2 linked regions of the Caenorhabditis elegans genome follow. The protein of the gene in region 1 purifies or fractionates together with the protein of each later gene. This does not show direct contact. Each region holds a gene or a part of one and is shown on either strand. Other genes may lie near its edges.

Region 1 (4,271 bases):
CTGTTTCTTTGTTCTGATTGTTGATTTTGATAAGACACCTACGAGAATTGATACCGATCATTTTGTTGTTTGGTGTTGTTTCTACCAGGCAGTGAATTTTCAGTTTTGAAGGTTGAGTTGGTAGGCACTTTTTTCAACTTTTTTTCCTTGGCTTCAAAAAATATACTTATTACGCTCTTATTTTAAAGGTGTATATATCACGGAAAGAGAAACAGTCACGAGCATTTTATTTATTTATTTATTTACTTCAATACGAGCATTCAACTAGATTCTTTCAATTTGTTCTATTTCTTTACACTTTTATAACAAAAGGCATGTAAAAAATTTAAATTTGAATCACCGCGATGACAAATTCCTTTTTTTTACTTTTTTTTACTTAATTTTGCTTATTTATTTTTGCTTATTTTTGGACTTCTCAATTGTTGATTCAAATTTCATAGCCAATTTTTTTAAATTGAATTTCCTTGTTGGGCCAGTAAGATCAACTTAATGCAAAACCCAAATAAATGATACTAAAAATATTTATTTCTTCAAACTTTGAAACAATTTGCACTCTTTATGAACCAAAAGTCAAGAATGTGGCAAACATTTGCGAGTGGAAGGCAGAGAATTCGATAAGAAGAAAACAAAAATGAGTTCTAGATCTGAACTGTTAGTTTTCACATCATTATTGTTTTTTAAACTTTTCAGATATAGTTTAATTGGAAAACTTATCATAAAATGTAAAAGTTTTCCAATTAAATTTAAAAACAATATATTCCAGTTGTTTTTTCCAAAAGCCGGAACATTTTCGGAACAAATTATTCCAATCGGATTATTTTCTATTTCATTTTCTTTTTTTTTTCTCCGAAACGTGAACTTTATGAAATCCCAATTCCACAACCCAAAGTACATATTTAACCTCCAACAAACAACACAATTCTGTTCCCTCTTTTTCACCCGTTTGCACTTTATTTCTTTTCACTCACCTCGAGTCACGTGATCTCCTTCTAAGAACTGAATTTCAAAAACACAAAATGTTGTTTTCATCCGTTTCTATTTCAGCCCTTTATGTTTTTATTGAACGGTGAAAAGATCGGATCATTTTTACACTGGCTACAATTTTATTTTTTCTCATTTGTTCGTGTATGTCATATACCTGCCTGCCTGCGTGCCTTCTTAGCCCCTCGATTCTACATTCTAACATAAAATGAGCTGGGTGGTGTACACACATGATAAATTTACGTTTATCTCCCTTTATCATTTAAATTGTTTTGTTAAAAGTTCAATTAAGAAATGGCAGGTATTTTTGTGCGTATTTGGAATAGTCATAAAGCATTTAACCAAACTTCTTTCCTGAAAATATTGTTCATTGTATATTTTCATATCTTTTATCCAAAACAACTAAATGCTCAAAAATCGCACATCTGGTTATCACGTGCGGTTAGGAAAAATAGAAATCAAATATTTAGAGTACCCAAGTTTTTTTCCAAACAAAATCTATTTTTATCGTGGTCATTTGCAAACAATTCTACACTTTGTTCACTAGACTTGAGACCAACTGTTTTTTTTCTGTTTTTTGTCCGCTGATGCTCCAATTGCTCTACCACGTGTCTGTGCTCCTATCAACTCATTGGTACCTCCCTTGATGTTTACACAAATATCTTTTCTTTCTTCTCAACTCTATCATTATTGTCTGGCCAACGTGATTCGGCTGTTTTTTTTTTTCGTGCCTAATTATTTTAAAAAAAACTTTTCTACAAAATAAGAATTTTCAGAAATCTTAAAAGCGTCCCGAAGTAGTTCAAGTTGTTTTAGTACTGGAGCTCATTAAGGTTTAGAAAAATCATAAGCTTCTGTTTTTTTTTCGCTTTTTTGTCGAAAAATTTTAAAATAATTGCTGAATTTTCATGAATTTTGCAGACTTCAAGTTTCAAAATGCCGAACCGAAAAGTGGTCAAATTCTTCTTCGATGTCATTTCTCCGTACAGTTACTTTGGATTCGAAGGAATCACTCGTCATCGTTCCGTTTGGAAGACTCCAATTCAGATGAAACCATTCTTTTTTGCTGGTGTTGTCAGACATACTGGTGAGTTTTTGTATTTTTGTCTTGAAATTTCTCTAATATCCGTAAAAAAATGGAATTAGCTTTTTTAAAGTAAGGTTTTTAAACCATGACCCTCTAACAATTCCGTTTGAAATGTCAAAATAAAAGCTTTCAATTTACTTCTGGAAAAGGACATGCAAAACCTTAAGAAGCCTGTATGTTATTATTTTCTAAAAAATGCACCTCTATCTATTTATATCATAAGGTCGGCTACTTCTACTTCTTAAAATCTGCTTTAATCTGACGAAGGGCACTAGAATAGATAAATACACTTAAATAGTTCAACAATAGTTCAACATTATAATAGTTGAACATGACATATATTAACATAATAAGACAATCCAAAAATTTCAGGATTTTTCAAAATGATCAGTGAACGTTTTGATAAGTTGCCAAATGTCCCTAAAAGGACTATTTGAAAGCAATTTCGAGACATTTGGAAAAGTGATATTTGGTAATTTTATAAGTATAGGAGCATTGATAAATAACATAATTGTTTTGAAAATTTTTTTCGAATCGTGCTAATCATCAGAAAGTTGTTTGATATGTACCTTCTAAATCATATAACTGCAAGTTTTCAGAAAACCCCGGTCTCCCACTCCGTATTCCTATCAAAGAAAAGTACATGCACAAAGATTTGCTCTTCTCTGCCCAATATTGGGGAATTCCGTTCCGTCTTCCCAAGGACTACACAAATATGATGTTGAACACAAGTTCAATCGTTCCACAACGTATTCTTGTCGCTTCACAACTCCGTGATAATGTTTTGATGGAAGACGTTGCTCGTGGACTCTGGCATCGATTTTATGCATACGGAAAACCAATTTTCACAAAAAGTCAAGTTGCCGAAGTTTTGAGAGATTTGCATGTAAAAGATGTCGATGAGTTGGTGATGATGAGTGATTCGGCAGAAGTTAAGAACATTTTAAGAGAAAACACAGATGAAGCCATCGGGAATGGAGTAGGTCATTTATTATAGGAACCCAGAAAAACACGGAATCGACGAGAAAACACGCTCCACAACCAATTTAAAACGGTCCGCCCCCTAACGATGGGTCTCGTTAGGTATTTTCCGTTAAACTTGAACGTTTTTGATTAGGCTCGACAATTTTCTAGAATTAGTCTTTCTGTTATATTTTTCGAAGTGTTTAATGATTTCAACATCGAAATGATGTCTAAGAAAATTATGTGAATTTAGGGCGTTTTCACTTATCATAATAATTTTATTTCATCTATTTCAACCGAAAAAACATCAAAAACTACGAAAAATATAACAAAATAGACGACGAACGCAAAATTCCTAACGAGACCCATGGTTTAGGGGCGGAGCATTTTCAGTTGGCCCCGGAGCGCGCTTGCGCGTCGTTTTAAAATGTTTTTTTGCTGTTTTATAATATTCTCAATTGGGAATTAAAATTAATTTTTTTCAGTGTTTCGGAGCTCCGTGGATGCATATCACTGATGGTCACGGAAAAGTACTTCAAACAGTTTTCGGATCGGATCGCCTTCCACAGGTGGCCGATTTTCTTGCCGAGCCATTCAAGGGTCCAATGAGAGAGAAGAAGCCGAACGCATAAATTGTCAGATTAGCATTCTAAAAAGTGTCTAGAATTTTATCTGAGAAAGAATAACGATTAAAATTAATTCTTTCTTTTGTGTTGGCAAGAGAAATACAGAAAACGATGGAAAAAATGTGGAAACAAAAAGACTACTAATCTATTTCACACGAGTTTCAATTTGTTGCGGCAATTACAGAAAAAAAACGGAGCAAAAAAGAAAGAGCATAAGCTAACGAAAACTTGGGGTTGGTTGGGGGGACGAAGGGTGAGAGATCTGAGTATGTGTTAGTTTTGCGTGGCCTCTGATGATTAGCCGAATATAAATAAGGGAAAGCGTAAAGGTTTGATAAAAAGTAAAAGAGAAATTTCAAGAAACGAAAAATAATATTACCGGTACAGAGAGTGTAGATAGTTAGAGAGTGACAGACATCCGGGACCCAATGGGGCGGGGCGCGCGGAAGAGACGATTTGTGTCGATTTACGAAATTTTCCTCGTTGTCATTATTTCGTAAATCGACACAAATCGTCTCTTCCGCGCGCCCCGCCCCATTAGGTCCCGGATGTCTGTCACTCTCTAACTATCTACACTCTCTGTACCGGTAATAGAGAACAAATAACAATCTGAT
Region 2 (5,385 bases), on another chromosome or scaffold:
AAAAGTTTTCTTTTTTTGAATAAAGCTAATTTTTTACTTTTTTATGAATCAGTACTAAAAAAAATCTGGAAAATTATGGCCCAAATCAAGAAATTTCCAAAAATTAACGTCTCCGGAAACTTGTTTCTCTTGTTAGGCTCCGCCCATTTTTTAGGCCAAAATTTGAATAAAAAATTGTCAAAAAAAATTTGCCGCGAAGATCATTATTTATATATTAAAAAATATTATGAATTGATACTGGTATAGGGTTAGTATGGGGATATGGTCAGTGTACTGTAGTAGTACTGTAGGGGTACTGTATGAGTACTGTAGGATTACTGTAGTTTTGGAAAAATTGACTTTTTGTCTTTTGAAGAGATATTGGTTTGAGGTTAGTAGGGGGTATAGCCGGGGTACTGTAGTAGTACTGTAGGGGGTGCTGTAGGAGTACTGTAGTTTAAGAAAAAATTTAGTTTTTTTTTTTCAAATTCAAATTTAATGGGAAAATTTTTTGGTGGGAATTAAAATCTTCTGTGATAAAATTTTGGCTGAAATTCAAATTTTCTGAGAAAAAAAACAACTTTTTTAGAAAAATCTGGAAACTTCTAGAATTTTCTAAAAATTGAATTATAATTTTTCAGACCAAACTGGCGACTAGAGTGGCGACTAGACTGAAAATTTTTCAGAGCGACTTTTTTGCAGCTCAAAGCTGTGCTCCCACTTGGTTTCAGTCCGTCAATACGGTTTGATCTACAAAAAATGCGGGAATTTTTTTGCCCAAAAAAATGTGACGTCACTCTTAACCATGCAAAATCAGTTGAGAACTCTGCGTCTCTTCTCCCGCATTTTTTGTAGATCTACGTAGATCAAACCGAAATGGGACACTCTGCCACTGATTTTTTTTGCACCAGGGGCCTATTTAGAATGGGGTTTTTTTTCAAACGAATTAGGTTTTATTTAGAAGTCTGGAACTTAGTTAAAATATATTTTATTTGGCCCTTGTAAGTTTAAGTTTTTCAGAATTTTCAGAACTTTTTGAAAGAATTTTGGCGCGCGAAACTTGAATGCTGTGGTTTTTCATGCTACGTGGCTGCAAAACTTCTATTGTCGCAGATAGAGTATACAATCAATGTCCTGGATCTATCTCGATTTCATTCGCATGTCTCTCTGCGGCTCTCATCTACCAATACTCTCTCACTTCTATCTGTTCGTTGCGATCTCTGCGCTGCCGTCCTTGACCGCGATATGTCATACAGAAACTGTATTCATTCTCGACTTTCTATTTTTTTTTGTTTTGGAGAATTTATGTTCATCTTAAAATTAATTTGGTTTTTGAACATATTGAGGAAACGGTTTTTTGAAAAATAATTTGCTTTTTTTAAAAATTTTTTTCCCAAAACACATTTTAAAAAATTAATTTTAAAAAATTTCTTTGACAAGCGACACGCGGTTCTGGCTTCCCTCATAAATTGAAATGGAAGAATTTGCCGAACTAGGCCAGGCCATATCCGGGGTAGATTTACGGCGCGTTGCGTGTCGCGTCGCGGCTTGATTTCAGTTGTAAAACTAAATGTATTCGTTCGTGTGGAGTGCACGACTTTCCCAGTCCGGCAGGCAATTGTCAATGGAGCGGGAAAAATTTAATGAGGAAGGCCAGAACCCCGTGAAGCGACACTCCGTTGCTAGGCGTTGCAGATTTTTTGTTAAACCTTCGAAATTTCAGTGAAAAATGACCGTTTTGATTACCGGCGGGATTTCAAAAATATCTACTCAACTTGCGGAGGCGGTGCTAAAAAACGGAAGAAATGTGGTTCTTCTGCACAATAATGAGGCGGTAAGTGGTGGCCTACAAAATTTTCGAAAATTAATTTTTAATTATCGAGTAGTATAGGATTTTCCAGCTGGCCGAGAAATCCTTGTAATGGCCTTAAAAGTTTAACGTTCCTATTCCGGCAATTGGTAATTTCGGCAAATTTGCCCAAATTTGTCCAAATTGCCGGAATTGCCGGAATTGCATTTTTAGGCTCCTAAATCTACAAAAAGTATGAAATTTTTATTTCCGGCAATTCTGGCGATTGCAGGTTCTCAAATTTTTCAGCAATCGGCAATTTTGGCAATTGCCGGTTTTTTGAATTTTCGGCAATTACCGAAATTGCCGAACAGCGAAAATGGTTCCCATTGAAAATGCTAGAGTGGCCTAGAAATTCTCAGGTGGCCGAGAAATTTCATGATGGCCTAATTATTTCAAATTTCTCTTCCAGATTCCAACAAATCTGATCAATAATCCATCGCTCACACTTATCAATTTATCATCAATCAACGAGGAAGCAATCAAAAATCTAATCGAAAATTACAAAATCCAAACAATTTTCGACGCATCTCTCACCACAACTGATGTGCTCTTGGAGCCAATTCAAGGAGCTAAGAAATTGATTCTGGTAAGGTTTTAGTAAACATGCTCTATTGGCAAACATTGGGTGTACTCCACGTGAAAATAGAGAAATTTCGAATTTCGTAAAGTCAGAAATTAAAAAAAAAATCCAGAAAACTCCTGGGAAGTCAGAAATTATCAGAAAATTTGGAATATTTTTTTGAAAAATAAAATAAAAATTCCAGAAGTCCACGTGGTGTCAGGCTGTCCCATCACGGTTTGATCTACAATAAATGCGGGATTTTTCCCCCAAAAATATGTGACGTCAGCACGTTCTAAACCATCTGCGTCTCTTCTCCCGCATTTTTTGTAGATCTACGTAGATCAAGCCAAAATGAGACACTCTGACACCACCTGAAAGTCCGAAATTTCTAGAAAATGTTGAATGCTTTAAAAAAAATCAGAAAATTCCAGAGGTTTCTTTAAAAAAAAGGTTGAGAAAAATTGAAAAATTTATATCTTTTCTAAAATTCTAAAAAAAATACAAAAAAATATTTTAAAAATAAATCAACATTTCCAAAAATCTTTGAACAATTTAGAAAATTCACGAAATTGCAGAAATTTTCAGAAATTTCAAATTTTTTTGAAAAATTTCCGTAAAAGCACGCGCGCTCAGTTGACAAACCCCTAGAATTAAAAAAAAATCAATATTTTTTTCAGGGAATCACGTCAATCCTCGATGCAATCCGTAAATCCGCATCCCCACCATCTCTGGTTCTCATTAGTGGTGACGAGGTGTACGGTAGGGCGAAGAATCGTGTCGAGACCCAACCTCTAGAGCCGGTCACATTCATCGGCTCAGCTCAAATGTCCGTTGAAGCAATGGCTCACAGCTATGCTGTCAGTTATCGTATTCCAATGGTCATCGGAAGGGTATCCGATGATTTATCGATTTCTGACGCGACACGTGGATTATTGGCAATTGAAAAGTTGGCACAAAGCCAAAAACCAGCGGAGGTCTACAATATTTCGGCTTCTTCAGCTGAAAAAATTCAGAAAGAAACGAATTGGAGCCCGTCTGGCTCTGTAAAGGAACAGGGACCCATCGAAGAAGTTTTTAAGCCAATTTTCTTAGTTTTCGGAGCTAATTCGGAACTGAAAACTCAATTTTTGGAGCTGCTAAAGCTGGAGGGACTGGTTTCCAAGGTTTGATCTCAAATTTTTGTATTACGGTAGCCACAAAAAAACACCATACTTTACGACAATTTGCAGAAAATATCTAAAAATTACGTCTTTTGTATTACGGTAGCCTCAAAAAAAAAAACACCATACTTTACGACAATTTGCTGCTCCAGGGGTAAAACTAAGCGGGAAATTCAAAAAAAGTGTCTAAAATTCGTTTCTAAATTTTTAAAACTCTCAAAAAGTCAAAACTTAACTAATTTCCAGGAATCCACAATCACAAATCTGCAAGAAGCCACTGATAAATCGGTTATCGATGAGATTAACACAATCAATCCATCCCATTTGGTTTATTTCGGAAATGAAACCGGTAAGTGACTTGGTGGCTGAAGACAGTGGCCGCAAAAAGTTTTTAGGCCATGAAATTATATTTTTTGGTCGGAAATGCTTTTCTTTTTACGCTAAAAAAATCAAAAATGCCAAAAAACAATTTTTTTTGGACTTAAAATTTGTCTCAAAATTCAATTTCACGAATCACGGGTTCTGGCCTTTCTCATTGAATTTTTCGCGCTCCATTGACAATCGCCCGCCGGAAAACGTGTGGGAAAGTCGTATACTCCACACGGACAAACACATTTAGTTTTACAACTAAAATCAAGCCGCGACGCGACACGAAACGCGCCGTAAATCTACCCCAGATATGGCCGAGCCAAAATGGCCTAGTTCGGCAAAAACTCTTCCATTTCAATTTATGAGGGAAGCCAGTGGCCGCAAAAAGTTTTTAGGCCACGAAAGAATCTTTTTGGTCGAAATTTATGTCAATTTATGCTTTAAAAAAATTCAAAAATGTCAAAAAAAAAATTTTTTTTGGACTTAAAATTTGTCTCAAAATTCAATCAAAGCTTTTTTCGCTAAAATATTTTTTCACCGAGAAAAAAATTCTGGGCCAAAAAAAAGCTTTTTATTTCAAATTCCAGACTCATTCGAAGGCGACTGCTTCACTCTCCGTACCAATATGGCGACTAATCTCTATTTTCCATGGCTTCTCGCAAGTATTGCCGAAAAGTTCTCCCTACACTTCACCCATTTTGGAAATACTTCTATGAGCCAAGAGTCTTCAGCTCTTGCCGTTAAAGGATACACTGGGAAAATGTTGGAATATTTCGAAAAAACGCTCATAATTGGACAGAAAATCGATAAAAACGTGCTGGAATCGATTAAGGCATGCAAGACTGGAGGACTTAATAATAATATTTAATTATTGAATTTTTGCAAATTATTTTTGAACTTAAAGCATTCCTTTTTCTGCGATTTTTTCAATCAATAAATTTTGAAATTAGTGTTGTACTGGCAAATTGGCAAAATGCCGGAATTGAAAATTTCAGGCAAATCGGCAAACCGGCAATTTGCCGAAATTGGAAATTTCTGGCAAATCGGCAACCCCGCAATTTGCCAGAATTGAAAATTTCCGGAAAATCGGCAAATCGGCAAACCAGCAATTTGCCGGAATTTAAAATTTTCAGCAAATCGGCAAACCGGCAATTTGCCGGAATTGAAAATTTCCGGAAAATCGACAAACCGGCAGATTGCCGGAATTTAAAATTTCCGGCAAATCGGCAAACCGGTGAATAGCCGCAATTTGAAATTTCCGGCAAATCGGCAAAACTGGCAAATTGCCGTAATTTAAAATTTCTGGCAAATTACCAGAATTGAAAATTTACGGCAAATTAACGGAATTGAAAATTTCTGCCAAATCGGCAAACCGGCAATTTACCGGAAATGAAAATTTCCGGCAAATCGACAACCCGGCAAATTGCCGAAAATGACAATTTCCGGCAAATCGGCAAACTGGC

What was found.
Region 2: the proteins of gstk-2 (region 1) and rml-5 fractionate together in Caenorhabditis elegans (co-fractionation; one large-scale study listed by BioGRID). This does not show direct contact.

Annotation. Positions count from the first base shown.
Region 1 is NC_003282.8:7,239,902-7,244,172, reverse strand, and holds gstk-2 (Glutathione s-transferase kappa 2), read left to right. Parts: upstream 1-1,902; 5' UTR 1,903-1,917; coding exon 1,918-2,068; intron 2,069-2,667; coding exon 2,668-3,047; intron 3,048-3,516; coding exon 3,517-3,663; 3' UTR 3,664-3,728; downstream 3,729-4,271. UniProt on the Caenorhabditis elegans protein: Has roles in respiratory and lipid metabolism.
Region 2 is NC_003279.8:1,791,552-1,796,936, forward strand, and holds rml-5 (NAD(P)-binding domain-containing protein), read left to right. Parts: upstream 1-1,702; 5' UTR 1,703-1,708; coding exon 1,709-1,813; intron 1,814-2,240; coding exon 2,241-2,417; intron 2,418-3,070; coding exon 3,071-3,556; intron 3,557-3,799; coding exon 3,800-3,902; intron 3,903-4,509; coding exon 4,510-4,790; 3' UTR 4,791-4,873; downstream 4,874-5,385.